7 linked regions of the Rattus norvegicus genome follow. The protein of the gene in region 3 interacts with the protein of the main gene of each other region in a biochemical or structural test. Links are inferred from orthologs where the notes say so. Each region holds a gene or a part of one and is shown on either strand. Other genes may lie near its edges. The genes, in order: Pdzrn4, Dlg4, Rps6ka1, Pdzrn3, Erbin, Arhgef11 and Magi3.

Region 1 (3,482 bases), on a different chromosome or scaffold from region 3:
GTGACCTGGGCAAGCTATAGGAAGACTTGGATATAGTGCTGGGGCCTGAGACTGACTAGAGAGCTAATAGGCAGCCACTGTAGGTTTTCATGCAGTACACTAGCTCCAAAATAGGTACATGTTCTCATGACAGTCTGTTGGGTTAAATGTCATTTTATATATACCATTAACAGTGTCTTCTCTTGTGTAGGCATCATGGTCGGCACATGATATGGTTAAATGTTCAAGCAATGAAAAGCTAGATTAATAAAAATCTGCCTAGCCAGTTAACAATAGACCCTTTAATAAAGACATATAGGGCATTTAATTGAATATGCTGAGAATTACTGCAAAGATGGATGGCTTCCCAAAACGTACCTTCAGACCATCAATTTAATAAACCTGCCGTGTTGTAGACTGGATTGTGTCCTACCAAAATTGAATGACTTAGCAGTCTCCAGATCTGTGAGTGGTAAGTCCCCATTGCTGAAGCCTATCAGAGCATGTGAGTTGTGGAGGTGAAGCAGATGTGTCAACAGGAGACCCTTCCTTAATATTCTTTCTCTACTCTTCCTGAATCTCACCTGGGAAAGGCAGGCTAGAGGCTCATGAAGCCTAATTTAGCATCACTGAAATACAGCGTCTATTCTCGAATTCGTTCCCGGTAGGAATATGTGATTTGGAATAGGTGACACGATGACCTATAAGTAGTGTTTCCAAAACAACTTTATTGAAAGAGAAAAGGTGATAGAAAAGCTGCACAGTTTGTAATTCACAATCAAGAGTCTTCTAATCGTATACATACAACCAAACATGTCAACCACCGTGGGCAAAGAAAATAACAGTCCTTGGTTAACTTTTCTTAGGATAATCAATAATTTATTATTTTTTTATTGTCACAAATTACCACAATTATCTAGCTACATGACCAGTGTCACTACATATCACGGGAAGATTGTCCACCCACACTTTACTGAGACAAAGACGATTGCCATTTATGTGTTTAAATGTACAGAAGGATGTTGAAAGAGGTGCTACTTCATGTATAAGACAAGATACGGCATGTAGTTTATTAGCAGATCTGATTTAGCATACACTATGCCAGGAGGTAAGCATAGACATGTTTTGGCATTGAATTATTAAAATAGGAAATAAGAAAATTAGAGAAATAAATCCAGACTTTTTTAAAACTTACAATAGATACATTAAAATAGGAAATTAATTAGGTCCTTAGTATTTTTGTTCATCTTTTTTTCTTTCCTTTTGTTTTTTCATCGTTTTATTTTTTTTCTATAAATGTGTGCTATGAATATATCACAAGTTAAGGAAAGATATTAGCCAAAGAAGGTACCAGCATATGAAAAACAAATTAAAAAGTACCAGGTATTTTTGCTTACAAAAAATTTAAACTGTAAAGTCACAAAATATATATAAAAATGCCACATTGAACGAGGCAATGATACTCTACCGAAACTGGTAGCATGCTCTCTAAGCCAGTTGTCCCCATGTGTCTGGTCATACGGTGGTCACTGACAGAAAGGCATTGTGGACCCTTGTGCCATCCGGGGATTTGGCCCCATGGGTCATCAGTTCTTGGATTGTCATCCAGTTATCCAAAATTTTCTTGTTTCTTTTCTTCATCATCTTCTTGTGGCTCAGTTCAATGATGCTCAGCTCCTTCTTGCCCTCGCCGCTGCTCTGTGGGCTCTCCTTGAGGCTCTCCAGCCGACTCCGCATCATGAACTCCCGGCGCCGCCTTTGCTCCTTGGCCCGGACCAGGTGTTGCTTTCTCTCCTCCTTGCTCCAGTAGCGCCCCATTTTCATCTCACTCATGGTGTCGTCATCTGTGGTCATGCCGCTCCGCTCCTCCTTGATCTTTAAGGCACGTTCCTTCAGAAGTCGGTCTCGCACTGGCCTCTTGGTTATGTACCGGGTCCCATCACTTCTAATTTTTACCTTCCATTCCATCTTGGGCTCTGAGCCCCTCGGCGATTCCTTGCACATGCTCACCAGGCTGAGCTGACTCTGGGCATACTCTACGGCAGATTTCTGTTGAATTAGCTGCATGTAGCTTTGATAGTGCCGGGCATGCGCCGGAATGTTGGCATATCTGTAGGAGGAGCTGTGGTAAGGAGAGAGGTATGGAGTATGCTCACTGACTGTGTGCTCCTGATCCAGAAGCTGGCTGTTTTCTAGACTCTTCTCCAGGCTTTCGACGCTGCAACCTTCATGGGTGGTTTTGACTTTGGTAGCGGTGTATTCCCTGGTGCTCGGTCTGGAAGGGGACTGATGGGCTGTCATCATGCTCCTCAGATTTTTCTTATTGGTGAGGTTGATCATTCTTGGAAGGGAACTGTCCGGGGACCTGTCTACAGTCAGTGGGGTGCTTCTGCAGCTCTCAGCTGTATTGTATGCACTTGAGCTGTCCTTGTCTGACTTTTCCGGATGCTCTATGATGTCGTCCAGTTTCCCTCTTTGCATATCTAGGCTGGTGTTGTAATTTCGGAATCCTCCATCATGCAATGCCCAGATGTCTCCGTATTGGTCCGTCACTTTCTGGAGCCTGTGGGCCTGCATGATATTCTGACACTCCAGCTCAATGTTTCGTAGCTCCTCATTTAACAGCTTCAGTTCATGCTCCACCCCGTCCTGCTCCCCTTGATTGCATTCGAGCGTACTGCTTGAGTAGTACAGGTCATAATCTCCATGGTTTCGGATCTTAAGCTCCAATAGCTGCTGGAATCCTTCACACACCTCCTGGTTGCTGGCACAGTCGGAGTCCAAACACTCACCCCCAGCGCAGCTCTGGTTGCACTGAAGCTCAATGCTTCCTAGGGTGTCTTGGCTCTGCCCCAGCTCTCTCTTGCTCTTCAGTGCTGTGCTGTGGGGCTCCTCGACCACATTCTCCTGCTCTGAGCTCTCATCATTTCGCAAGCTCTCATCTGTGCGCCCCACGCCACTGTCCTTCTCCTGGTTGTTGGACGAGGATGTGGCCGTGTCTGTTGTGCCTTCTTCTTCCTCCTGCTTTTTTGGCTGAGGAAACAGAACACAAGAGATTATTTTGAAAAGCACTGGCTGCTGTAAACTTGCTTGAAAAACAATGTTTCCTGGCTAGGGTGCAGCTCCTAGAACCAGCTGTACCTGCAGTTTGCATACCAATTTTAGAAATTGAGACAATTAGCTCATGGCAGTCTTGTGAGTAGCAAAATAGAGGAACTAAGTTTCATTATATCTGTAACACTCACTGGGTATCAATGAGAGGGAGGACCTGGACATGAAGGACCACTGTGTTCAGCTTTTCTCTTTGGGAAGCCAAGGTGAAGGATATATACAAAGTGACCACTTCTCAGGTAAAAACACACAGAAGTGTAGTAGAGACAAAATATCTACAAGTTCTTCAGCAGTTTGGAGGTTTAAAGCTTAACTAACCATTGCTGCTTCTTAACTTTCTTTATATGAAGTAGAACAAGGTGGAGATGACCATCTATACAATACTGATGTAT
Region 2 (3,973 bases), on a different chromosome or scaffold from region 3:
TCTTTCTTTCTTTCTTTCTTTCTTTCTTTTTTTTTTTTTTGAGGCAAAGTCTCACTATGTAGCCAAGACTGCCCTTGAACTGGTCGTCCTCCTGCCTCAGCCTCCTAGGGCTGGGATTACAGGTGTGTGTGATCATATCCCTCTTTCTGGTACTTTTTTGTTGTTGTTTTGGTTTTTTGTTTGTTTTTCTGAGACAGGGTTTCTCTGTGTAGTCCTGGCTGTCCTGTCACTTGCTCTGTAGACCAGGCTGGCCTCAAACTCAGAGATCTTCCTGCCTCTGCCTCCATAGTTCCAGGACTAAAGGTGTGCGCCATCACCATCCAGCCTCTGGTACTAGTTCTGAACTTACCAAAATTAACTTGAGTTCCTTGGGGAAAGGGATGGTTTCCAGTCTTGGCAAGAAGCACAAGAGGCAGGAGGGGTAGAATGTACTGGTAATCACAAGGTTTGGGAGGCTAATGTAGGGGGATTGAGATTTTAAGGGAAACCTGGGCTACATAGAACCTGCCTCAAAAAATGGCTGGGGATGTGTTTAGTGGGTGGAGTGCTTTTCCAGTATACACGAAGTATACACATGCTCTTGGTGATCAGGAGGAGGAGGAGGAGGTGAAGGATCAGAAATTCAAGACTACACAGTGTGTTTAAGGCTAGCCTAGGCTATATGAGGCCATGTTTCTTTTTAAATTAATTAATTATGAGTACACTGTAGCTGTCTTCAGACACACCAGAAGAGGGCATCAGATCTCATTACAGATGGTTGTGAGAATTGAACTGAGGACCTCTGGAAGAGCAGTCAGTGCTCTTAACCACGGAGCCATCTCTCCAGCCCCGAGGCCCCTCCCTCCCTTCCTTCCTTCCTCCCTCCCTTTTTCGTTTGTTTGTTTTAAAATAGGGCTGGGGAGATGGGACCAGAGTCTTGCTCTCTAACACTCACAGAAAGCTGGGTGCTGTGATGCATGACTTCCATCCTGACTCTGAGGGGTGTGCAGAGACAGATGGGTTCCTGGAATTTACTGCCCAGTTAGCCTAGTCTGTGAGTTCTAAATCCAGCTAGAGACCATGTCTTAAAAAGTAAGGTGGAGCTGGGCATTGTGATACACGCATTTAATCCCAACACTGGGGAGGCAAATGTCAGTGGAGCTCTGTGAGTTCAGGGATAGCCTGGTCTACATAGTGAGTTCTAGGACAACCGGAGGTAGGTGGTGAAATCCTGTATATAAACAAACAAACGAATGAACAAACAAATAAAAATTAAGATGGAGAATGATTTTGGGAAGACCCTTGAAGTCAGCCTTTGGCCTCCATGCTTGTGCGCGCGCGCGCGCACACACACACACACACACACACACACATCACCACCACCAAATAACCAAGCCAGAAACAAATACGTAAATGTGTAAGTCATACTAGAGGGCCAGGAAGGGGCCCAGGATTATTAGTGTCACAGCAGTCTTGTTGAAGAGGATTTTTCTGGCCTTACATAATTTATTTTATATGCAAACACATGAGGTCAGAATAATACCTTTATTTTTTTTAAATATTATTTAATGGATATGAGTACACCAGACACACCAGAATAGGGTATTACAGATGGTTGTGAGCCACCATGTGGTTGCTGGGAATTGAACTCAAGACCTCTGGAAGAGCAGTCAGTGCTCTTAACCGCTGAGCCATCTCTCCAGCCCCCAGAATAATACCTTTGAAAACAATTGGGTATCAGGCATGGCAGCAGATGTACCGCATGGCGATGGACACAGGTACTCAAAAGTGAAGTAGGAGGATCAAGTTCAGCGAAGGCGTAAGCAACATAGTGAGATCCTTGAAAGTGGGAGACTTGAAAGTAAAACCAAAACCAAACTTGGTCAAATGGACTCAGGCTGGGGAGCCATCATGTGGTGGACGTACAGGTTGAGCAAGACCTGGGGTCCCATCTTCACGGCAGCATTTCCCCTTGTTACCCTTGGAGAATGCTGGAACACCTAGAGACAGGCCATTTCTTCATGGAAATGTAAATAAGGGAGAGGCTCAGTCATCTGCTCCCACAACTGTGTACGCTCATCACAGAGTCAGCTCAAGGTTGCCAGGCAGCAATTCTGGTGCGTGTGTGGGTCTGTTTTCTTACCGTTTTTGTTTTGAGATAGGGTCTCATTATATAGCCCAAGATAGCGTCAAAGTCACCATGTAACCCGCACTAGCCTTCAGTGCCGTCCTGTCCTCCTCAGTGGGATAGTAGGCTCGAACACAACACTCAGCAGGTAGGAGAGTCCTTTGTAAAAATCTTATTAATGATTGTACAACATTAACACTTTGCAGTCCCTGTGAACACCAACCTTAGACACCACCCTGAATGCCCATAAGGACTCTGGTAGAAGGGTATTGTAACGAGCAGGTCAGATGATGACCCCAGAACCTGACAGTCCTAGAAAGACAGGCAGTCAGCTCACACTTCCCCATTTCTTTTGAGACAAGGTCTTACTACATAGCCCCGGCTGGCCTGAAACTTGGGGTTCTACTGTCCCAGTGGATCTAAAGTGTGGGTACCACACCCAGCAGACGTCACTGCGTCCTGTGGCAGGCACAGTTCGCCCCTTGCTGGGTGAACGTTTCATATTGAATTTGAGCCTACTAAGCCTCTGGGACAAGCCCAGGGAAACAAAAAGGGAGCAGAGATGGGGCACAGGCTAAGCAAGACCACAGGGAAACAAGTGACTATTATCGCTCATAGAATGTGGGAAATACTTTAGACAAATGACCCAGTTTTAAAAAAAAACAATCACCCAACAAAACAACAAAAAACCCTAATGACTGGGCAGAGGGAGGGGCATTGAGAGACCTGAGAGACACTTTAACCAAAAGGCAGTCAAAAGCATGATGCCAATATCCTCCTGTTGGCCCCATTCCTGGCATACTAAAGACATATGACCTCCCAACCCTTGCCCTTTGATGTCATCTGTAAACTTCTGACCCCTGCTGCGGGTCACCCACATACCTTTTTGGCAGAATAATTCCTCTTTGACTGAACCTGGCTCTGGGCTCCCTCTGGAGGGGACAGATGGGTGGGTGCCACGGTCACAACATCTTCATCTCATGCCCTGTCTGCCCTCAGCGTATTCTCAGCACCTGGACAATGAGATCAGTCATAGCAGCTACTTGGGCACTGACTACCCCACAGCCATGACCCCCACTTCCCCTCGGCGCTACTCCCCTGTGGCCAAGGACCTGCTGGGGGAGGAAGACATTCCCCGGGAACCAAGGCGGATCGTGATCCATCGGGGCTCCACCGGCCTGGGCTTCAACATTGTGGGCGGCGAGGATGGTGAAGGCATCTTCATCTCCTTCATCCTTGCTGGGGGTCCAGCCGACCTCAGTGGGGAGCTACGGAAGGGGGACCAGATCCTGTCGGTGAGAGAGGCCTGTGCAAGGGTCTGCACTGCCCCCCAAAGGGAGTTCTCTGCTCTTGGGGAGGGACTGGATGGGCTCAAGCCTGGTCCAGCTGGACCACTCCCTGACCCACTCACTCCTAAGAATGACTGTCTTCCCATCCCAGGTGATAGCATCTTCTCCCCTTTCTAGGTCAATGGTGTTGACCTCCGCAATGCCAGTCACGAACAGGCTGCCATTGCCCTGAAGAATGCGGGTCAGACGGTCACGATCATCGCTCAGTATAAACCAGAAGGTACCACGCCTAAGTTTTCTGTCTTGGTTAAGGTGGACCTCAGCATTGTCTCTTTAGCTGATGGATGGTCTCAGTAGGGGTGGAGCGAGGGTTGATGGGGTGTGGCATTAGGATGGGACAGAGTTCCAGAAACTTCTTGTCCTTTCTCAGAGTATAGTCGATTCGAGGCCAAGATCCATGATCTTCGGGAACAGCTCATGAATAGTAGCCTAGGCTCAGGGACTGCATCCTTGCGAAGCAACCCCAAGAGGGGCTTCTACATTAGGTAAGAAACTTCCTGGGCCTGACTCTAGAGGC
Region 3 (3,973 bases):
TCACAAGCAACCAGGCCTAGCATCAGAAGCCAAGTCTGCACACATCCAACCTGGGGGCACATCCCCTCTGTTCTGCCAGACTCTGTCAGGGGTTTGCCAGGTCAAATTCCTCGTGTCTGATGCATGTGGAGGCCTGATGTGTTTAGTCATCCCAATGGGCTGAAGGGTGCCCGGGGCAGGGGTCCTGTCGTTCCTGTTGTGGTCTAAGCCACCCCCACACCTCAGTCCCTCACCTAGAAACAAAGAAGCCCACAGAACCCCAGGGAGGTAGCTGGGTAGTGTCAGAATGGAGCCTGAATCCCACGGAGCCAGATACTGCCTATCCACCCACACATCTGGGCTTCCAGAGTCCTTGATCACCGCTGGACCCCAGGGTTCCCCTCCAGAGACGTGCTACCCAGCCCGAGGCAGACAAACCAGGTCAGGAACATACCCCTGGGTGTGCGTGACGTGAACTCGGTATCAAAGTAGAAGGTGTCATCCGGCTGGGCCACAGCGGGCTTGAAAGGTGGCTTGATCTCACGGCGGTAGAGCTTCTGCAAAGGTGGGGTGTGTGCTCTGATCACCATGGTGACCCCTCAGCCTGCTAGCAGCCCCGGCTGGAAGAGTAGAAGCTACTCTACCCAGAAGATAACAGCCAGGGAGAGCAACCTTCAAGGGCATGAAGGGCTGTTCATCTTCTATCTCCTACATCTGAGGCCACGGCTGGCAGGGGCCCCTCCCCCACCCTTCCTGTGTCCATCACAGAACCAGGGAGTGGACAGACTCACTCACATTCCAGTCAATGGTAGAGTAGAAGATATGTCTCTTAATTTCCTCAGCCCCATCGGGGCCTGAGCCTGTAAGAAGCCAAAGGAAGGTCCAGCCTCAGACACCCCGACTGTCCCCCAAGCTCTGGACCAGCTGCTACAGTAGGGGGCATCTTGGGCTCACCCTGCCTTGTGTCAATACCCATCACCCCGAAGCCTGGAGCCCACTCAGTGTTTTCTATATTACGAAGCCTCTTCTGGTTTATTAAAGGAGGAGGAGCCAGGCAGGACGGACGGCTTGATCATGCATCAGTCATGACAGAAGCTGGACTTCTTTTGAGATCTAATAAGGACCTTCATCTACTCCTCCTGCCACAGGCCCTCTCTCCACCCTTCTTCTTCTACCACTGCCTTTATTCCCGAGACAAACACTCATTCAATTCGTCCCAGGGACCCGGACTGGACCTTAGCTGGTTGTGATCCAGATAAAGCCCTCATCTGAAAAACTCAGCGAGCACTGTGTACTCCAGTGCAAAGGAGGCATGTCCTTCTCTGACTCAAAGAACCCTGGGAGCCAGGTCAGGATCACTGTCTTCACAGACACAAGGAACCCTGGGGGCGTCACCTGCCTTAGCGCAGGCTCGTAAACAGTATTTGGTCTCTCGACAGACATTTACAGTAACTTCCGGGTGCCAGGCAGTGGGAATAGACACAGGCAGGACTGAGAGACTCGTGTCAGTCCTAAGCTCATATGCCTTCCCTTGAGCCAGCAACCTTGGCAGAGAGGCTGTGTGGGGGCCTCTGTCCTTGTCCCTGAGTGGGTATGGATGACTCAGTTCCTGCCTTCCCCCCACACAGGTCACCCTCCCAACACCATACATGGAACCAGAAAACAGGGTAGCCAGCAGCATTGTCTGCACACAAAGGACAACAGCTCCTTTCAGCCCCAGATGTGGCCCTGTGGCCTAGGCTGCAGCTGTACCCTGCTCCCCACTGCCATGTCCCCTCCCCGAGCTGGGGTTGCTTACCAAGCCGGTTGGCAGGATTCCTCTTGAACAGGGCCCGCAGGAGGCTCTGGGCTTCCGTGCTCAGAAACTGGGGCATGCCTAGCTTTGCCCTGGAATAGCCACAGGTCTCATCAGGGCTGAGCCCCACCCTGGGAGACCCAGAACCCCTTCCCTTTGTTCCAGGTCTCTTTCCCAGCTCAGTCCAGAGAAGCCAGCCATTAATTCACCTCCCAAAGACTTTAAGGATACCCTTCCACTGGCCCAGGTAGACAGCAAGGGTCTATTGGCAGGGAAATGCAATTCTCTGGCCCTGAAGCTTGGGTAAGATTAGGAAGAACTTGCTAGGGCCAGGGTAGCATTGATGCTTACTTCAAAATCAAGGTCATGGTCTCCTTCCGGTCCTTCCCCTGGAAGGGCAGGGAGCCCGTCAGCATCTCAAACTGCAGAGAAAAGGAACCATATAGGTGCGGTCTTGTTCTCTGTCTCCCGCATTCCCCTCCCCCTCCTTCCCAGGCTACCCCGCTGTGGTTCCAGGATTCTTGCTGGCCTGTTAGACTTCAGAGTCTAGCTGCAGCAGGGCCTGTGCCTGCCTCTGCCCCCATCCCAACCTAGATTCCAGGAGCAACACTAAAGCCTGAAGTGGAGGAGAGTCCCCCAAGTTAGGGGAAGGGTGGTACTTCAGTCAGATGGATTGAAGCCCACGATTCTTCCAAGGAAAGGAAGTGCAATGGCGTGCAGTTGTGAGACAAGGGGAGGGTAAACTGACTTTTCTCGACTTGGGGAAACTGAGTCCAGAGCCTAGACACTCACCATCAACACCCCATAGGACCACCAATCTGCACTGTGGGTGTGGCCCTGGCGGTTGACAACCTCGGGGGCCATGTACTCCACCGTCCCGCAGAAGGAATAGGCCTTCTTTTCGTGGTCAATGGCCTCCTTGCTCAGGCCAAAGTCTGCAGCATGGAGGGCAGAGAAGTCGTCGTTAGGATCCCTGCCAAGTCACTGCTACCACTCTTAGCTCCTCTGACCAGAGCCAGGCATCGCCTCTGTGATGCCAGGAGAAAGCTGAAGCCCACATGGATTTGTCCAAGGCTGTAATTGGGAGCTATGAGAGACGGCCCGGCAGTTAAATCACCGGCTGTTCTTCCCGACAACCCAGGTTCGATTCCCAGCTCCCACAGGATGGCTAACAGTTGTAGGCGACTCCAGCTTTGTGGGCAACACGTGCAGGAGGCACAGAGGCCTAGGCAGGCAGAACCCCATACACAAAAGATAAGTAACGGGGGCCTGTGCTTTTGGCTGCTTCTTGCAGGAAGCACAGTGAACTAGCTGAGTTCACTGCGGCCATCAGCTGAGACCCATCAGACGGAGCCTGTCCATCCTTCCCAGGAGCCCAAAGGAGCTGGTGCCTCACTCACCAGTGAGTTTGATGTGGCCCTCCTCATCCAAAAGGATACTGTAACAGAGAGACATGAGTCAGAAATCCTTAGCCCCAGGCACTGTGTAGGTTCTAGTGGTACCATGGGATGGAGAGAGATGGAGCTTGCCCAGAAGGAGGGCTTGGCCCAGCTCTACTCCATGGAAGAGTAGAAGGATGGAGCTCAGGAAAGTAACTCCTTGTAGTCACAAGGTTTGAATGGCTCTGGGTCTTTTTCTCCTTTCAGGGACAGGGTCTACTGCATTGTACAGGCTGGCTTCGAACTCCTGGACTCAGCCTCTTTAGCAGCTGGTACCACAGCGGAGAACCATAACGCCTGACTTAGCATGTGTCTGACTCTACCAACAGGATCTATCCCAGCTCTCCAGACAGCACTGGAAGGCAGTTCATTGGCCAACCCCAGAATGAACAGATCAAGAAATGATCTTTAGGGGCTGGGGATTTAGCTCAGTGGTAGAGCGCTTACCTAGGAAGCGCAAGGCCCTGGGTTCGGTCCCCAGCTCCGAAAAAAAGAACCAAAAAAAAAAAAAAAAGAAATGATCTTTAGAGGTGGGCGGTAGTAATACACGCCTTCAGGCCCGGCACTCGGGAGGCAGAGGCAGGCTGGTCTTGGTGAGTTTGAGGCCAGCCAGGTCTACACAGAGAGACCCAGTCTTGAACACCACCCCCTGCCCCCAAAAAAGGGAAAAAAGAAAGAAAATAGAAGCGATCTTTTAACAGCAGCATGTCCGATGTCACACTGTATTAGGAAGGAGGTCTGGGTGGGGCCCACAGCTGCC
Region 4 (3,829 bases), on a different chromosome or scaffold from region 3:
TCAGTAAATGGGTAGTTGGGACTCTGGTGGTGGCGTAGGTGGTGGCGTAGGAGGGAGCTCGAGGGCTGTGAGCAGCTCAGACTAATCACAGAATTGCTTTACTTTCAAAGGCTTGACTTCATTGTATTTTCCTAGTAAACATCAACAGAGCAGCAACATTGTCTCAGCTTTTTGTTTTTTTTTAAGCCATAAGAGCTTTATAACCTTAGAGGTGGTATACACTAGGGAGATTGATTGCTTTGAGTTTGGAATTCACTGTTAACTATGTAGCCATCTCCAGGGAAGAGCTTGCTGAGGGAACCCATCTGCTTGTATTGCCCTCAGGCTCAAACAGAAAAGCTTAGGCAGGAGGTTTCTGATGGTCTTCAGCATCTTTGAAGGTGCACGTTCTCCTTGGTTGGGGTGGCGTGGAGTTGCCCCAGGGTTTACCTGCTGCAGCACACTGGCTGTGAACTGCATGGCCTGGTGATGCTGTTCCTCGAGCATATCCATGTGCAAATCATCCAGAAAGTCATTCCTGTCATCATCCATCCAGCCCTCATCCAGCTAGGAGAAACAGTTGATACACACGTGAGGGTCTTCATTATCAACTTGAACTTAGAATCACCATAGTTACACATCTATGGTAAACACTCTATGTGAGTGTTTCTGGAAAGGTTTAGCTGAAGAGGGAGGAGCGCCTCTTGACTTGGGTAGCGGTCATTAAACAGGAGAAACCAAGTTGAGCACTGGATTCATTTCTCTGCTTCATGACTGAACACCATGCAGATAGTGGCTTCATAGCCTGCTTAGCCTTCCTGCCATGCTAGACTGAACCCTCAAACTGAGTCAGAATAAACCCTTCCTCCCTGAAGTTGTTTGGAGTGGTATTTTGCCATAGCAAGGAACTTTCTTTTAAGAAAGGACATTACCTCAGAAAGAGGAATTGTGGGGCTCTCTCTAGGAGTCATCCAAAGCAGTTAGTCCGTTGTCTTGGAAAGGACCTCATCCTCACACTGAAGGAACTCCAGCCCTACACCACACTGGGGAAGCTTCTAATGCTACGGAAGCTTCTAATGCTACTCCTCCCACCCCTGCTTTGCTACATTGTATCCAGATTCAGTGGTTAAAGCAGTTAGTTACTATTTGAACCACTCAATTCCACTCATGTTCATTTCCCTTCAATGTCCTAATAAGTGGGACTTAGGTCCAGGCTGGAAGGGGCATCCGTAAATCCTGCTATGGTTCTTTTATTAGTCAATCTGCCGTGGGTAGGACCTGTCAGGTTGGTTAATCCTTTGAATGGATCCCAAGCCACAGCAAGTTCAAGTTCAAGGTGGCATGCACCTTTAAGCACAGATGCAATACTCTGACATTGTTCTGCAGGGTTAGGGACTTGGGTTTGATTATAAAAATCTAACCTACTTAATCTGTGGGACATTGACTTACCTGGAGCTCAGGCCTTGCGATCAACAGTGAAAAGTTCTTATTTTCTTCACTGGTTAGAAGAGCCACGGCCTCTTCACGGTTCTGAACTTCTATGCCATTAATCTGAAAGCATAAGAGGTAGGGTAGGTGTAGGTAGCAAGGGATATGGCTGCATGGAGCAGAAGCTTCCCTTCTTGCTTCAGAACTGCAGTGCCACCACTCACACTCATAACATGGATTCCAGGATATGATCTAGAAAACCCCTGCTGCTCGGGCCACATCCGAGACCTGGAATCTGACATTGTGTTTGGTCAGGAGACTAATGGGAAATATAAAAGACACTTCCTGTTTACAATGGGAGAGAAAAGCAGCAGGGTGCCTTCTGGGAATGGACCTTGAGGAGTGGGTAGCAGAGATGGGACCGGCTGTGTATACATGGGCTACGTGTGCCTAGTTTAGCAGGCTAGATGGCGAGTCAAGTGGGAACGGCTCTCACCTTCACACTGACAACCCTCTGGCAGGACATCTGTCTGCCTGTCTCAGCAACTTTGAGTTCTGTAAATTTTTGTTCCTGGGCTGACATTCCTCTAGGGACACCACAGCAGTCCTGCTTGCTGACTTGGAAATTGAGCCCTTCACTCGACTTTGCCACTTTATGTCAAAGAACCAAGAGGTGGCAAAGCCAGAGACACTGCTGGTTGTCATTATCCAACCTGATTACACAGTGGATACAGGGAAGGGTATGTCTGCAACCCAGGCGGGACTCTGGTGGCATGTTTAGTCCTTTCAGCTCCTGTTTTCAGTGGTACCGGTTTCAGAAAACTGTAGCAACACACAGTTTGCCGAGGATTGTGGCCCTCAGGTGTCTTGGGTCTCTTTCCTAAGGAAGCTCAGCTGTCAAGGCTCTCGCTAAAGGCTAGAGAAACACAATGTAGTCTGGTAGGAAACCAAATCTAGACGTGGTGGCTTATGAAATGGGGAAAACAAACTGGTAGATTAGAAAGATGAAGATGAAACTGAGAAGAGGTAGAAAGAGAAGCCAAGGGACAGAATGAAGCCAAGGCTCTGAGGCCCTACAAAAAGCCATAGAGCTGACGGGCATCAAGTGATAGGAGGCTTGCTTAGCACAAAGGAAGTCCTGGCTTCCATCCACATCACCGTATCAGGCCAGGTGTGCAAGAGGTGGAGACAGGAGGATTGGAAGTTCAGGTTCACCTTTACATAATGAGTTTGGCACCAACCTGAATCCATGAACACCTCCCCCCACCTCTCCCCCAAAATGATTATAGCTAGAAGAAAGAAGTAAGCACTTATTTTGTTTACATGGAACAACAGGTTTCAAGGTAAAGATGTTACCCTTATAACAGAGTCCATAGGGCAGGTAACTGTGGAATTATGAAATTTCAGACTTCTCAGAGGTATTTGGTCCAAAATCTGGGAGAGCTTGGTCTGTCTTCACTTCCCCCTCTGTGTGTAACTAATTAGTCTCACTCACTAATCTAACATGGTTGGTCTCACTACTTGGCTGAATTCCTGGTTCCTGTCCTTAAACTTCTCCTGCTTTTCCAACCTGGGAACTATTTCTGGAACACCTTTCTTTGCTGAAGATGCCCCCCAGTGGGAAGTGTACCTACCTGGATGATGCGGTCTCCTTCACGGATCCGTCCATCCTTGGCCGCAATGCTGTTAGGGTCAATCTGAAACACATGGTAGACAGCCTCAGCACGAACACAGCCACTTTCCAAAGGCTGTCTCTACCATATCATCATACATGACCTTGCCTTTCTGTATTGAACTGATTTGCAAACAGGGCTTAGCACTGTGCACAGGGAGAAATGAACTATCTGTTTTAAGCCCCTCCCTGGGACTCCCAGAACTCTGCTTGGCAGCACTGTGGCAGAGGGCTGGGCTCAGAGCAAAGGCGACTCTTGCTGGACATGGGGTAACTAGAAGCAAGTCAGTGACACGGATTAGGTGAGAGGGCACCCGTATGTGTGGCTGCCTGGCAGCCCCACCTTGATGGTTTTCATATCAAATCTTGTTATCAAATTTGAGAAGACAGCTTTAAAAGTGAGGTGTATAACTGGGACAAGTGGGACTAAGGATAACAGGGGTGCCCTAAAACATGCTGATGTGACACGCAAAGCTTGGTAGGTGGTGCTTAGCCAATGAGTTGACTGTGCAGTATTTAGCAGATAAGGTTCTTGGCTCAGCCCATAGAGACAGATTTGATTTCTTTGGGAAATTGGTTTTCTGCAATCACAAGGAAGGATGGCGCATGCATAAGAAAGTATTCATAGCGAAGTCAATTTCTCTACTCCGCTTCTTCTAGAAAGATCGCTACATCTTTCATCTATGTACTTCGATAAGTCTACGTAAGTTACGTTTGATGTATATGAACTCAACTGTGCATACTATGGCG
Region 5 (3,973 bases), on a different chromosome or scaffold from region 3:
CAGTTACTACTGGTTACTCTTTACAGTGGTCTATAGTGAAAAACATCAGGTAGAACAAAAGAAATGAAAAAGTACAGTGTGAAGAGACCGGGAACACTGGGAAACAATATTATAGCGATGAACATGCTAGAAAGAGGAAGTGTTTTAGAGATATCACCATTAAGGACAGTGCCCTGCTCTGCACTGGAACAATGAGAAAAGTGCCCTCAGGCCAAGACCCCACTCAGCTGACTTCCAACTTAAGAAAGAGCCTAAAGGATTTCTGTTCCTAGAGAGCAACTGCTTAAACACATAAAAGACACTACTAAGGTAGGGTGAGGATCAAGGGTCCGTCCTATGTGGTCAGTTTAACTTGCTAGTGTCATCTACGGTGGGAAAGACGGAAGGGTGAGGTGGTCATGGCAGTGGCCATAAAACCTCCTGTACAGTTTCAGAGAGCCCTGAAGACAGGCAAAGTCTGGCAAAGCTGGAGATGCTGTGAAAGGAAAGTACACGAAACATTAAAAGAAAAGCTTGGGGGTTGGGGATTTAGCTCAGTGGTAGAGCGCTTGCCTAGGAAGCGCAAGGCCCTGGGTTCGGTCCCCAGCTCCGAAAAAAAAGAACCAAAAAAAAAAAAAAAAGAGAAAAGCCTGGCTTACAGCAGAAAACCCAAACTGCTAGATACCGGAGTCATGAGACATCTGCTAAGAGCTGATCACATCAGAGGAAGCAGCCCCAGAGAGATGCATGCACAGGACTCAAAGCCGGATGGGCGGAGCCACCTAAGCATCTGGCATGGAGATTGAGGATTTGGAGCGTTCTCTGCTGGGTTTTGGTTCAGTGTTCTCTCACTATGTCTTCATTCTTCCCTTTTAGAATGGAAATGTATATTCCATACCATAATGTCCTGGAAGTATCCTTCTTTAAATTTTATGGGTTGGGAGGTCACAGTTAAGAGACTGTAGTGAGTTTGAGAAGATACTGCTGACTTTTGAGTAGTGTTAAGACTGTTGAGTACTTTTAACACTGATTTAGAAGCATTTTACATTTTGATATGGCCATGATCCATAGGGAACATAGCACTACAGAAGAAAGTCATCACTAGGAGGGGCTTGTGAATTTTAGCCTCACCCCACTTCCAGTTTGCCCTCCTGCTTTCTACATGCGGCTGGAGGTGTGTAGTGTGATTTAGTTTGTGTGCAGAGCCCTTTAAGTGATCCTACTATGCCCTTCAATGTTGGCTGCCTCTTGGAATTCTGGGAACAAGAAAGGCTATAACAAAGCCAGCAGAGGCTGAGAGTATTTGGATTGAGCAGGTTCCAGGTAGCAGAAGAGCAGGGTCCGTGTCTAGGGTTAGAGAAGACAGTTGGTGACAGTTAAGACGGGGGAAACTGAGCCAGAGAAAATATTGTTAAGAGACAGGAGAAGAATTCACACAAAATAGCTAAAAGAGAAAGAAAAGCAAAGCTACAGAGGTGTCGTCTCTCAGCTTCCTGCTGTCATGTCCCCTTCACCATTATGCACCATCCCTCTACAATTATAAGCCAAAAAAGCTGTATTTCTCCCATAAGTTGTTTTTGGCTATGGTGTGTTATCACTGCAACGAGAAATAACATGGTTTCTAAGAATAAAAATAGCTCTTTTAATCTGAAATTCCTCCAATCAGCTGTTTATATGTTTTGACACCTAAAAATATTTTTGTTCATTTCAACAACAAAAAATGGTTTTAAAACAACTTTATAATCACTGTAGACCCTGAGCCACATTACAAGAGCTGTCAAAGCTATGATGGCTACTTCTCTCCCCAGCCTGTGGCACCTTCACTGTAAAATACTACCACAGGAACTACCGAAATGGTGGCTTCTGTCAAAACAGGGGCACTTCCTCAGCTTGCTGCTGGCATGAGGTACCACCACAAGAGCTGTTCACCTCCTCTCCAGCCTCCCCAAGCAGCTCAATAATGGCACCTCAGCCAAAGCCGACTACAGTCTTCCAATCTAAACCCATTGGCCTGATTCAGAGAAAGGTGTGGAGGGAAAAAAGCCACCACTCCCTGAGTTGGAGTACCCACCAATCTCTGAGCTTCTTACAAAACCCCACCACTCCCTGAGCTGGAAAACCCACCAATTCCTGAGCTCTCCAAGTCAGGGCTTAAAATCCTCACCTCACCAATCCTCACTCTAAAAATCTGCCCTGAAAAGCACCGCCCCCTATATAAACTCTGTTCTTTGTTCAATTCCTTGCTGTCCACTCTTGGGAACAGAAGCAGCCAACACTGGATTCATTACTCCATACCCTAAACCCTCCTGATGAATCTCTTTTATGCAAGATGTTGCCTGGTATGACTCTCATCAGAAAAGCCAGGAAGCAATGAAGAAAAGAAGGGAAGAAGTGAAGAGAAGGAGGAGGGCTGGGAGCTGCAGTGGCTCTGCTGAGGAGGTTTTCTCTCAGAGCTTCGTGGATCCTGGGCCCCCATGTTTCAGGACGCCATTCCATCTAAGTAGGGACACTAACAACCTCTACTCAATTACTTCTAAAATGGAGTAAAGAAATTTATTGTATAAGTCACTTAAATATTTGTGAAACCATTTATGTTTAGCCCTATTTTTTCTCTTATTTGTATTATTATTTCTATTTATTGTATAAGTAAATGCACTGTTCAAATGTTCACAAACCTGATTTTGGAGTTACTATCGATAGGAATTTGTTTCGCTGGAGAACAGAGTGCGGTGTCTTGACTGCTGTCAGTATTAAGAGACACTGAATCAGACATCCGAGATGGGGAAGAACAATTGCTGTTATTTTGATTACTATTGTGTGTGACTTCATCTGATAAAGAATCTGTATCCTTTGCATCATCTGAAACAAAGTAAACGTGTTTAAGCACAATGATAAATTCACCAAGAATTTATGGAAACCTTTTTACCGATTCTATGTCTGAGGGGATAAGTTAAGTAGGTATTAAGTCCTCTGTGTCTCTCCACCTCAAACACCTGCTCATAAAGTGGTAATCTCTCAATGAGTGAGGTGCCTGTTTAGAACAATGAGAAGCAATCGGTTTATATTCACTAAAGTGGAAGTTTAAAAGGAATTTGAAAATAGTTGTAAACAAGCTCTTTATGAAGACCTCAATACTAGCCAATTCAAGGATCTATTACACCCAGACATACCCACATATGGATTAAAGATATGTTTTTTGTTTTTAGAAACAGTGCTCAAATGGTTTAGAAACCCCAATCTCAAGGTACTTAAGTCTTGGTTTCTTAATTTATAAAAAGTACCGTGAGACAGCCTTTGAAGTACTTTTCATGGAGCTAGGATGACACCCAACTGTTCGGCAGCCTAGTAACAACTGCCTGGTACCTAAACAACAGTGAAAGGACTCAGGAGCTTCTAAGTATCAGTATACACCCCGCTAACCAAGTGCCAGCTTGGTGATGTCACTAGCTTTACGGGAGCAATGGTCTGGACAAGCATTTGACAGAGATAACGCAGAGCTAACCAGGCACTACTTGTAAGAGCGGTGTGATGAGATGGGCGTTCTTTACAACTTTATTTCTAAGTCTAATATTTTGTTACATGAAAATTGGTTGGCAAAAACTGGGGAAAAGAGCTTAATATCTACCATTGCAGAATAGATAAGAATAAAATAATGTGCACATAGAAAGAGGTACTATGCTATGTATTATATGCAAAATCCTTCATTAGCCTCACTACAACTCAAATATGTCATCTATTAATGGATAGAATGAAGCACACAAGGAAGGATAAGTATCTAGAAAACACTCAATAGAGATGGAGTTATAACCTAGAATTCCATCCTTCTAATGCTCATGTCCTTACAAAAAAACTCTGCGCGGGAGTAGGAAGGGACTACCAATCTCTTTAAAAATGGGAAATATGGAGAATATTTTGGAAAGGCAGTTTTAAATTTTGTTTTTAAAATGTTTCAATAATGTGACTCCCACATTTATTTATTCACTCCCAATAAAAT
Region 6 (3,973 bases), on a different chromosome or scaffold from region 3:
ATGAAGGCGACTCCCACTGAAGCTCAGGGCTACCATCGTGTCATGGAGCTTGTCCCTATCCCTGCCAGTTCTACTTAACGGTCATTTAAAACCCTCAGCAAGGATCCAAACACAAAACCACAGGAGTGTGCATAAATTCCAGGGATGAAGATGAAACGAAGACCACAGGGCAGTCTTTCCAAGCCATAAGTTCTTCCACAGAACTACTCAGTAGCTACAGCTGTTTCTGAAGTTCCAGGCTAACACCCCTTGGCTCTGAAAAATTAGCCTTCCCTCAATGAAATTGGCTAGATGTGGCAGGGGGAGAGAGCAGCAGTTCTAAGAGCAAGCTACAGTCTCCAGAGTTCAGGCCTTGGCTCCCAGAAACACAGGAGGCCCCTCTACTTCCTGGGAAGGTGAAGGGGCTCAATTCTCTACCAAAGAATGGCCAAGGCTTTTGTTTTCTAAAATACTCACTGCTCTGAGAGGAGCTCTTGGGCTTCCCAATATATCTGAGGATGGGGTTTCGCTTCTTGTCCTCCAAGGCATCCTTTTCTTTCTTGGAATTGCTGCTCTGCTGAGATAGGAGACATTAGTTTGGAGGTGGTTCCAACACTCAGACACGAGACTGCTAATCACCCTTGCCCTGTCCTAAGACTGGCCCTACACAAATCATTGGAGAGCTGACTCAGGTTTTTATTCTAATGAACATGTTTCACCTGTGGTCAGGTTTGGAGAAAAGAGGGGGATATAGCTGGAAGGCTGTGAAATGGCTTCCTGGTCTGCCTCAGCACAGAGCCCTGCTCCAGGACAGCTGTGCTGTGGGCAGTTCTGTTACCTTCTTGGTCTTAGGGAAGAAGGGCAGCCACTTGTCCTTGTCAGGGGCAGACTGGGTCTTTTCTGCCGTGCAGGAGGATCGAGACTCCCGAAGACGGATCCCAGCGTGGCTCATAAAGGTATTAACAGCAAAGTCCATGGGGGCACTGTAAAACAGGAGCATTGTGAACCAGAAAGCTCAAGTCATGTTTCGTAACAGAAGGCTGAGGGAGCAAAACCCTGAGGACAGTCTCCGTTATAGGCATCCCACGGAGAAGAAAAGGGGTGGTTATGAGCTAAAATATTCAAAGTGATGAATGGATGATCAAATGCAACTGCAGTCAGGAGCTGGCCAAAGCTCTCCATTGCTCCCACAGAAATCTAGACAGTGTTCTCTCCCCATGAAGGGATGATGGTCAGTGGATGGAACACAAAGTCCTGAAACACAAGGCCTGGAGGATGGGCTAAGTCAACATCCTCAGACACACATACGAGGGTTTAAAGTAGGCCTACAGCTTTCACCTTCCCCCATCTCTGAGAACAAGGAGAAAAAGAGAGCAAAGGCTATCGAGGTGTTTCTGGTTGCCACAAATGAAACTATCCAGAGCTGTGTGCTTAAACTATATTTGGCCTGAAATCCAGTAGACACACTATCTGCTTCTACTTTGGCTTCATGGCCCGTCTCTTCCCTTACAAAGCATGTACAGGCAGGGAATGCAGACCCTTTTAAGCTGATAAGAAATAATAAGGTCAATTTGTAGAAATTACATTAAAAAAATCACCAAGAAAGGAGGTGTTTTCTTTCTGCTGTCACAGACTGATTCTAACACTACCATTCTTAGGGAGATGAAATCTTTCCACAGGGAAAGAGGTCAGGAGGGAAACTCAGGGGTACTGTGGGTAGATACATGGCGGGCCTGAGAAGTCAGGAGGTGAGGGCTAGTCTGTCAACACCAAGGAGTAGAGCCATCTACCAGGCAGTGGTCCCTAGGCATCAAGGATCTGGACTTCCGAAGTCCCACATGTTATGGTCAGTCATCTGGGAGCTACACTTGCACAGACTCAAGTTCTATAGTGTTACAGCTTTCTTACAGGTAGCAGAAATGAGAAACACAGAAGAGCTCGGCCCTACTTCTTCCCACCTTGACTGCTGAAAATGTACCACACCATGGATTTGCTCACCTCCGATCTTCCTCATATTTGGACCTGTAATGAAAGAACAGATGACTTGGACCTGAGGCAAAGGCTGGAAGAAGAGGGGGGATAGTAGGGGATACGAGGTCAGATTCAAAACGTTCTGGAGTCTTGTAGCCCAGGAGGTGAGAAGTTTTTATTTCCTCAAAGATTCAACTAGCACAATGATGATCGTGACAATAATGTTTTTCTAGCACAACAGTACATGTGGCAAATTTAGTCTCTGTTCTCTGTTTCAAAGCATGAAGTTATCAGGAGAAAAAAATAAAACCTGGAGCCTGACCAAAGAAATTTCTTGTAAAGAGGCAAAGGTAGCAGCAACTAATGTTTGGGTCTTACCATGGGCCAGACATTTTCATAAGCTGTTTACACAATAAGCCCACTGAATTTTCAAAATACCCAGAAGAAGGCTCCCATCTTGTAAGTACAAACTATCATTACTTGAAAATTATTGTAAGTTGGGTTCATAGACTCTCCGAACAGGCTCAGTCAGGTATGAACTCCATCCCAGAACCAGTTAATGGCACCTTACTACTGAGGGTCAGGAGGCCGCCGCTGTAAAGACCACGCTTTCTGTGCGGCCTCCTTTCAGGTCCAGATGTCCTAGTCTTTTCTCCTTATTATTAATTAGTACTGCAGATTAAACCCAGGGTCTTATACATGTTAGGCATGCACTCGGATATCCTCTGCCTTTATCATTTTTTAATCCTGGTCCTACTGAGTTTGGTTTTGAACTCAGTAGCCCAAGGAAGTCTTGACTTGTGCCTCAGCCTCAAGGTGGCTGAGTCTGTAGGTCTCTTCCACTAGGCTCAGCTATTTTTAACTTTTTAGTGAAATGGAACCTAGGGCCTCCTGCTTGCTAGGCAACTGCTTCACTACTGAGATGTAACCCAAGCCCCCCCCAAGCCCAGATCTGTCACCAAATGACAGATTCATACATGTAGCTGTCTATTCACATCTGTAGTTTAATATCCCAAAGAGACCTTAAACTTAACATGTCCAAAAGTGTTGCCCATGTTACCCACTTCACCTAGAGTGACTGACAGTCTTTTTAGTGGCTTATATAAGGAACTCTAGTGATCTCTTCTTTGACTTTGACACTCAAGTTTTAAGAATTCTCTTCAGGATTCTATTGCTCAACTCCACTAGGAGCTGACCTCTATTCACAACTTCCATGGCTATTGTTTTACCATCATTGGTGGGGATTCCTATGGAGGAACCTTCTAAGTGAACTTCTTGGCTGTCCCATCTCTTGCAACTCCAACAGCTCCTTGCTTGCTAAGTGAAGAGCAAACTCCTCTTCATATTGTATTGTCTCTCCCATGACCAGGCTCTCGCTTCCTCTGCACTCCGCTCTTCTGCGCTGCTCCCTGCTCATTACTGTTCTTTAAATGCTGAGCACATTCTTCTTGGCTTCTGTCTGCCCTGGCTGTTCTGTCTGCAGTGTCATTTCCAGATGTCACGTTTAATTCAGTCAATGTCTTCACTGATTAAGTACTATTTTTTCCAGGTAGCTCACCTGGACTGGCCTATTTAAATCTGCAACCCACTGACTGTGGCACTTCTGACCGTCCCCATCCTGTCTACCCTCCTCCAGTGCTTGTTATACCAGTCTACTTAATTCCTGTCTATTGCTGTCTCTTCTCATCACTGCAAATACCCACAAAGGATATAACCACTTGTTCACTAGATGCCTTCTACAGTGGAGACATATTTTATGTTTGTTAAACTGAAAGACTCATGATATTGACACTACCAAAGACACCCAGGCTAACTTCTGTCATCTAGTTTGTGAGATCCAGAGAGGCAGAACAGATTAATAAGGTCACTACTCAGTAAGAGGAAATACTGGGAAGAAAAACTGTCTAGGCTTAGAAGTTCAGTCATCAACCCTGCCCTGGGATTCAAATCATGGACAACATATGCTTTAGAAAATGGGACTTAGGGACTGGGGAGGGAATGGGGTTAAGACCACTGGCTGTTC
Region 7 (4,666 bases), on a different chromosome or scaffold from region 3:
TCTAAATGAATCCCAACTATATAGACTCCAAGATTCTCTGGAGATATACTTGTGCAATTTTTAAGCTAATTCCAAAGTTCTACAAATCACATCTTCAGGTTCTTCATTTCTAGTGTTTAAAGCTTATGTTCAACCTACAAAACCCTTGGTATTTCATTATAAATAATGCTTTAAGTAAAGCCATTTAGGAAAGCCATAAAATATACTACCTAACAAATATTTTCATTACAATTTGCTTAAAACAGTTTTAAATTTCAGATGGCACAAAATAGTGGTACCCACTACAAATTATAGATGTTGACCATATTTTACAAAGCAAGCACAACATTCAGAACTGTTTCTAATAAATTGGAGTGCAGCACTGACACCAGTTATTCCCCTTATTTTCACTAAATATTTAAAGCAGGACAGCGTCTTTGGATGACAAGGAGGCAAAATTTTATTAATACAAAAATGCTGACTATATTCTGGGGCATGGAAGATTTCGTCAATACTCTTAACTAATACTACTGTATAACCCTTTAAACCCTGAAGCATTTTCTCCAATTTCATGTGAAAGGTATGTAACATGTAAAACAGATTGGTATTTATTAAGGAGCCATCCCTCTGGTCTTTTAAATGAGCCACAGTGATTTGGAATAGAACAACTTCCTCCACAACTTTATGACTTTATTCTCTCAGAAATGCCCCCACTGATCAAAACAAAAGAGCCATGATGCACATGTTCTCCTTATTTCTGGCTCATGGGACCTCATCTAAGTCAAAGGTTCTCAACTCCCTAATGCTGTGGACCCTTTAATACAGTTCCTCGTGTTGCAGTGACCCCCCCCCCAACATAAAATTATTTCATTGCTACTTCATTACTGTAATTTTGCTACTGCAATGAATCGTAATGTAAATATCTGATATGCAAGATAGCTGATACACAACGCCCAAAGGGGTCGAGACCCACAGATTGAGAACCAATGGCCTAACCATACCTAGGATAATAAATGTCTGTATAGTGTTTTGAATGTTATAAACAGTAACCAACACGCCAAATTATAGCCCCCAAAGTCTTCCCTCCATCCTTTCAAATACGGTTAGAAGTTAAGTGTTAAAACTCTTACAATTCTCACAAACATAGAGAAAGGATGTTTACAGTTTGACAAAGTTCTAAAGATTAACAATAAGAAAAACCCACAAACATACAAATCTTAACAGTATCACAGAATAGGTTATATGACAAGTGCCTTCATTTAAGCTAGTAAGATTATGTTACATACCCACAACACATGGATACTGCATCAAACCATCAGTCGCAATTAGCTCAAGGACTACTAAAGAGACAGTCCTAAAGTGAACTGAAGACAAGAAGAGGGAGGGGGGGAGAGGGGGATGAGAAAGAGAGGGGGGAGGCAGAGAGAATATTAAAATTTCTCTAGAATTTTCTAGCATTTTGTAATGAAAGGGAAGACCAAAATCTAGCCCAGGTCACAATTTGGCAGCCCCATATGCTTAGATGTACCCTATCTATGTTCAGCAGAAACAATTTGATTTCTAGTAACAATGATGAATCACAATGCCTGTGTCTACAACCATCTCAGAAGCCAGAACCACATCCTTCCAATACCGAACGGACCAACAATGTTCTCACTTACAAATTCGTAAGAAAACTTACTACATACTACCAGCCCAGACTGTGCGCAGTCTGATCAATGCTTTCCAACTAGGGAATATGCCATAAGCGTAACGTGCTTTGCAGCACATTTTACGAGCATCAAAGACACCAGGGCACCAAAGGTTCTTTTTTTACCCAGCGCTTCAACAAATTCTGTAGATTCGAAAGCTTTACAAAGGCATTTGCTCGGCTGGGTACCTAGATCTTCCTTCCAAACCCAGACTACACAACAGTTCCACTGCCTCATACCGCACATTGTACCTCATTGGTACTCAGACACCTGAGCCACCTAGACCCAAAGAGTGGGACTGTCAGCTCCCAGACGTCTGCGGTCGTGCACGACGCACTGGGCCAGCTGAGCCCTCCCTGAAGCTTTCGTTGGTAACCTCAGCACTCGATCCAGCGCTGAGTCTCCATAGGAAAGCCTTTTCTCCCCGTTATAAGACACATACGTTCCAAAGAAAAGATACCATCATAGGACCTTTTCCACAAAGGGGGAGCAAAAAAGGGATGGCCTTCTCTAGGAAAAAAAAAAAATAGAAACTCTTGTCTGCCGTGGGAGACTGAGCTGGATTAGGAGAGCCAGCTAACTCCTAGTAGCAATTCCCTGACAGCCTACACAGCTAGCTGTCGGTTCACCGGAGCTCAGTTTTACCTGCCGCAAAATGGGAAACCCCGGCGCCGCCCCCTCCCCCCTCCTCCCCGGGGAGTCGGGACCAGGACTCGGGTCCCCAAGCCGGATCCCCCAGCCGACAGCACACCTGGCTTCACGGTCTTCAGACGGATTGGCTCGCGGAAGTGGCGGATGACAGCCAGGGTGTCCCGGTTGGTGAGCCCACTGACGGGCGTCCCGTTCACCTCCAACAGCACATCGCCAGGACTGGGCGCCTTGCCCGAGACCACGCAGCAGGTGCCTCCGCCGCCGCCAGGCTCGTCACGGAGCCGCCCCAGGTAAGGGAACTCGCCGCGCTCCGCGCCGCCGCGGATCTCAGCGCCCAAGTCGCCCGGGGGCCCGGCCCAGGACACCGCACACTCCTGCACCTTGCTGAGCCAATGCTTCTTCTTCTTCAACGTCTTCGACATCCCGACCTCCGCTGCACCATGGGGAGCCCCCGCGCGGGCGGCCGCGGTGCCGCTCCGGGCCCCGCGCACAGCCCGGCCAGAGGGGCGCCGCCGCCGACCTCCCGCCTCAGCCCGCTAGCCGCGCGCCGCCGCGAGCCGCCCCTCTCGCGGGCCGCCGAGGAGAGCCGGAGGGAGCGCGCGCCCCGCGGGCGGCGCCGACGGGGTCTCCGGGCGGGGTCAGCGCCGACGGCCGGGTCTCGGCGCCCGCGCGGCGGGAAAGGCTGAGGCAAGGGGGCGGGAGCTGAGGGAGCAGCTGGAACCGAGGCTCCGTCCGGGACGCGCGCACCGAGCTTAGTCGCCCGCTCGAGCGCGGCTGCTGCGGAGCCGGAGCGCCGAGACCAACGCCTGCCCCAGCTGCCAGGAAACTGGCGCTTTCAAACCCGCCGCAACCTCCTCCCCGCTCGGCCCCTCCCCCTCCCTCGCCGGCCCGGCCCCGCCCCCTCCCGCAGCGCAGCGCCCGGCGCGTTGCCGTCACCAGCCCTTCTCTGAAGGACTCGCCCAGCTCTGGACTCCGCGCCGTGGATTGGGTTCCGGCAGGCTGGGGGCGGGCCTTGACGGACATTCTGATTTCTGATTGGGTGGTCTGGGTAGAGGAGGCGGGCACTAGAATGACTGAAGTTTAGAGAGGGAGGAAAAAAGAAGTTTAGACTGTGAGGGAGGGAGAAAGGGGAGGGAAGAGAGAGGGTTGGTCTGGGAGCGGGCACAGGTCGCCTAGCGGGGAGAGGCCCTCCGCCCAGGGGCTGGAGCCAAGGGAAACGCAGAAAGGACCCAGGTCCCCATGGTGGGGCGTGCCCAGCTGGGCAGTGGGCGGGGCCTCGGATCTGGAGCCGGATGGCGATCCAGGGAGTGCTTTGCCTGGATCCTGGGCGTCCAGTGTCCAGCTACCTCGAGCGGTGGAGCTACTAAATGGGCCTGTTGTAGCTGAAACGGATTCGACGGGTTTGGGTTTGTTAATTGGTTCAACGAATGTTCTTGAATGAAGTGAGGAATTCGGAGTCCGGTTGAGGGTAAATATATAGTTCTGTGCTTGAATGCTGTGTGTTCTCGGGCAAGTTAGACAGCCTGTCTGAAACAAGCTGAGAATGAAGATCATTAGTTACACAAGCTACTAAACTCAAGAATGAAGAAAAGGTGATCCTGCTCTCGAGGAGATTCGTTTAAGGAAATAGGGAAGGAGATGGATTTAAAAATAACCTAGTGCCTGCAGATCTAAGTCCTGACACTGTTGGCTTGTCCTTGGCCAGCTCTCTGCTTCATGATTGTTTGTCTGTAAAGAGGTTGGAAGAAGAAGTGACTGAGAACAAAGGAGACCTCAGATCTCTCCCAGCTCTAATTTTTCAGAAACACTTAAGCTTTTTCCTCTCTTTATTGAACGTATGCTTTCTCGTCTTTGGAATGCCCTCTATTCCTAAAATTTTTTACCTCATCCAAATAACAGTCCAGTATTTCTAGGAAAGGGTTTTCTCTGAGCTGAGGCATATTGTCTCACTTTTGTGACAGGGCATTCTGACTCCCTTTAATGATAGCACTCATTTTAAACTCCAAGGAACTCTGCAGACTAGACCACGATTCAGACAGCTGCAATGATCTCCTTCACACCGTTGAATTGAAATAAAAACAGTAAATGTAGGCGGGACTCAAGAAACCATAAGGGAAGTGGAGCCCTGAAGCTGCAGGCTTGGGACCTGCCAGGCAGAGAAGGACCTTTACACCCTGAGGAAGAGATTGGCAAACAGGAAACTATAACCTTCAGTCCTTGAGCAGTCACCCAAGAGAGAAACTAAATTTCTATAATGCCACGCTCCACCCTGCTGAGGCTCCCTCTGGCCAAGTCGATTGGAAGTCGGATGGCCTTCACGCTCATGATGGCTCATGATGGCGGCA

What was found.
Region 1: the proteins of Rps6ka1 (region 3) and Pdzrn4 interact in a test that uses a peptide from one of them, tested with the Homo sapiens proteins (2 studies listed by BioGRID and IntAct, with this or other methods). The link is inferred for Rattus norvegicus from reciprocal best matches to the Homo sapiens genes RPS6KA1 and PDZRN4.
Region 2: the proteins of Rps6ka1 (region 3) and Dlg4 interact in a test that uses a peptide from one of them, tested with the Homo sapiens proteins (2 studies listed by BioGRID and IntAct). The link is inferred for Rattus norvegicus from reciprocal best matches to the Homo sapiens genes RPS6KA1 and DLG4.
Region 4: the proteins of Rps6ka1 (region 3) and Pdzrn3 interact in a test that uses a peptide from one of them, tested with the Homo sapiens proteins (2 studies listed by BioGRID and IntAct, with this or other methods). The link is inferred for Rattus norvegicus from reciprocal best matches to the Homo sapiens genes RPS6KA1 and PDZRN3.
Region 5: the proteins of Rps6ka1 (region 3) and Erbin interact in a test that uses a peptide from one of them, tested with the Homo sapiens proteins (2 studies listed by BioGRID and IntAct). The link is inferred for Rattus norvegicus from reciprocal best matches to the Homo sapiens genes RPS6KA1 and ERBIN.
Region 6: the proteins of Rps6ka1 (region 3) and Arhgef11 interact in a test that uses a peptide from one of them, tested with the Homo sapiens proteins (2 studies listed by BioGRID and IntAct). The link is inferred for Rattus norvegicus from reciprocal best matches to the Homo sapiens genes RPS6KA1 and ARHGEF11.
Region 7: the proteins of Rps6ka1 (region 3) and Magi3 interact in a test that uses a peptide from one of them, tested with the Homo sapiens proteins (2 studies listed by BioGRID and IntAct). The link is inferred for Rattus norvegicus from reciprocal best matches to the Homo sapiens genes RPS6KA1 and MAGI3.

What each region holds. Positions count from the first base shown.
Region 1 is NC_086025.1:125,842,180-125,845,661, reverse strand, and holds the end of Pdzrn4 (PDZ domain-containing RING finger protein 4), read right to left. Parts: intron 3,013-3,482; coding exon 1,495-3,012; 3' UTR 697-1,494; downstream 1-696.
Region 2 is NC_086028.1:55,256,457-55,260,429, forward strand, and holds part of Dlg4 (disks large homolog 4), read left to right. Parts: intron 1-3,106; coding exon 3,107-3,402; intron 3,403-3,573; coding exon 3,574-3,676; intron 3,677-3,826; coding exon 3,827-3,941; intron 3,942-3,973. UniProt on the Homo sapiens protein: Postsynaptic scaffolding protein that plays a critical role in synaptogenesis and synaptic plasticity by providing a platform for the postsynaptic clustering of crucial synaptic proteins.
Region 3 is NC_086023.1:151,378,006-151,381,978, forward strand, and holds part of Rps6ka1 (ribosomal protein S6 kinase alpha-1), read right to left. Parts: intron 3,213-3,973; coding exon 3,175-3,212; intron 2,710-3,174; coding exon 2,567-2,709; intron 2,197-2,566; coding exon 2,126-2,196; intron 1,867-2,125; coding exon 1,778-1,866; intron 840-1,777; coding exon 775-839; intron 537-774; coding exon 434-536; intron 1-433. UniProt on the Homo sapiens protein: Serine/threonine-protein kinase that acts downstream of ERK (MAPK1/ERK2 and MAPK3/ERK1) signaling and mediates mitogenic and stress-induced activation of the transcription factors CREB1, ETV1/ER81 and NR4A1/NUR77, regulates translation through RPS6 and EIF4B phosphorylation, and mediates cellular proliferation, survival, and differentiation by modulating mTOR signaling and repressing pro-apoptotic function of BAD and DAPK1.
Region 4 is NC_086022.1:135,329,875-135,333,703, forward strand, and holds part of Pdzrn3 (E3 ubiquitin-protein ligase PDZRN3), read right to left. Parts: intron 3,105-3,829; coding exon 3,042-3,104; intron 1,531-3,041; coding exon 1,429-1,530; intron 547-1,428; coding exon 430-546; intron 1-429. UniProt on the Homo sapiens protein: E3 ubiquitin-protein ligase. Plays an important role in regulating the surface level of MUSK on myotubes. Mediates the ubiquitination of MUSK, promoting its endocytosis and lysosomal degradation. Might contribute to terminal myogenic differentiation.
Region 5 is NC_086020.1:36,678,505-36,682,477, forward strand, and holds part of Erbin (Erbb2 interacting protein), read right to left. Parts: intron 2,839-3,973; coding exon 2,655-2,838; intron 1-2,654. UniProt on the Homo sapiens protein: Acts as an adapter for the receptor ERBB2, in epithelia. By binding the unphosphorylated 'Tyr-1248' of receptor ERBB2, it may contribute to stabilize this unphosphorylated state.
Region 6 is NC_086020.1:175,469,360-175,473,332, reverse strand, and holds part of Arhgef11 (rho guanine nucleotide exchange factor 11), read right to left. Parts: intron 2,002-3,973; coding exon 1,978-2,001; intron 963-1,977; coding exon 818-962; intron 557-817; coding exon 457-556; intron 1-456. UniProt on the Homo sapiens protein: May play a role in the regulation of RhoA GTPase by guanine nucleotide-binding alpha-12 (GNA12) and alpha-13 (GNA13). Acts as guanine nucleotide exchange factor (GEF) for RhoA GTPase and may act as GTPase-activating protein (GAP) for GNA12 and GNA13.
Region 7 is NC_086020.1:194,402,278-194,406,943, forward strand, and holds the start of Magi3 (membrane-associated guanylate kinase, WW and PDZ domain-containing protein 3), read right to left. Parts: upstream 2,871-4,666; 5' UTR 2,744-2,870; coding exon 2,422-2,743; intron 1-2,421.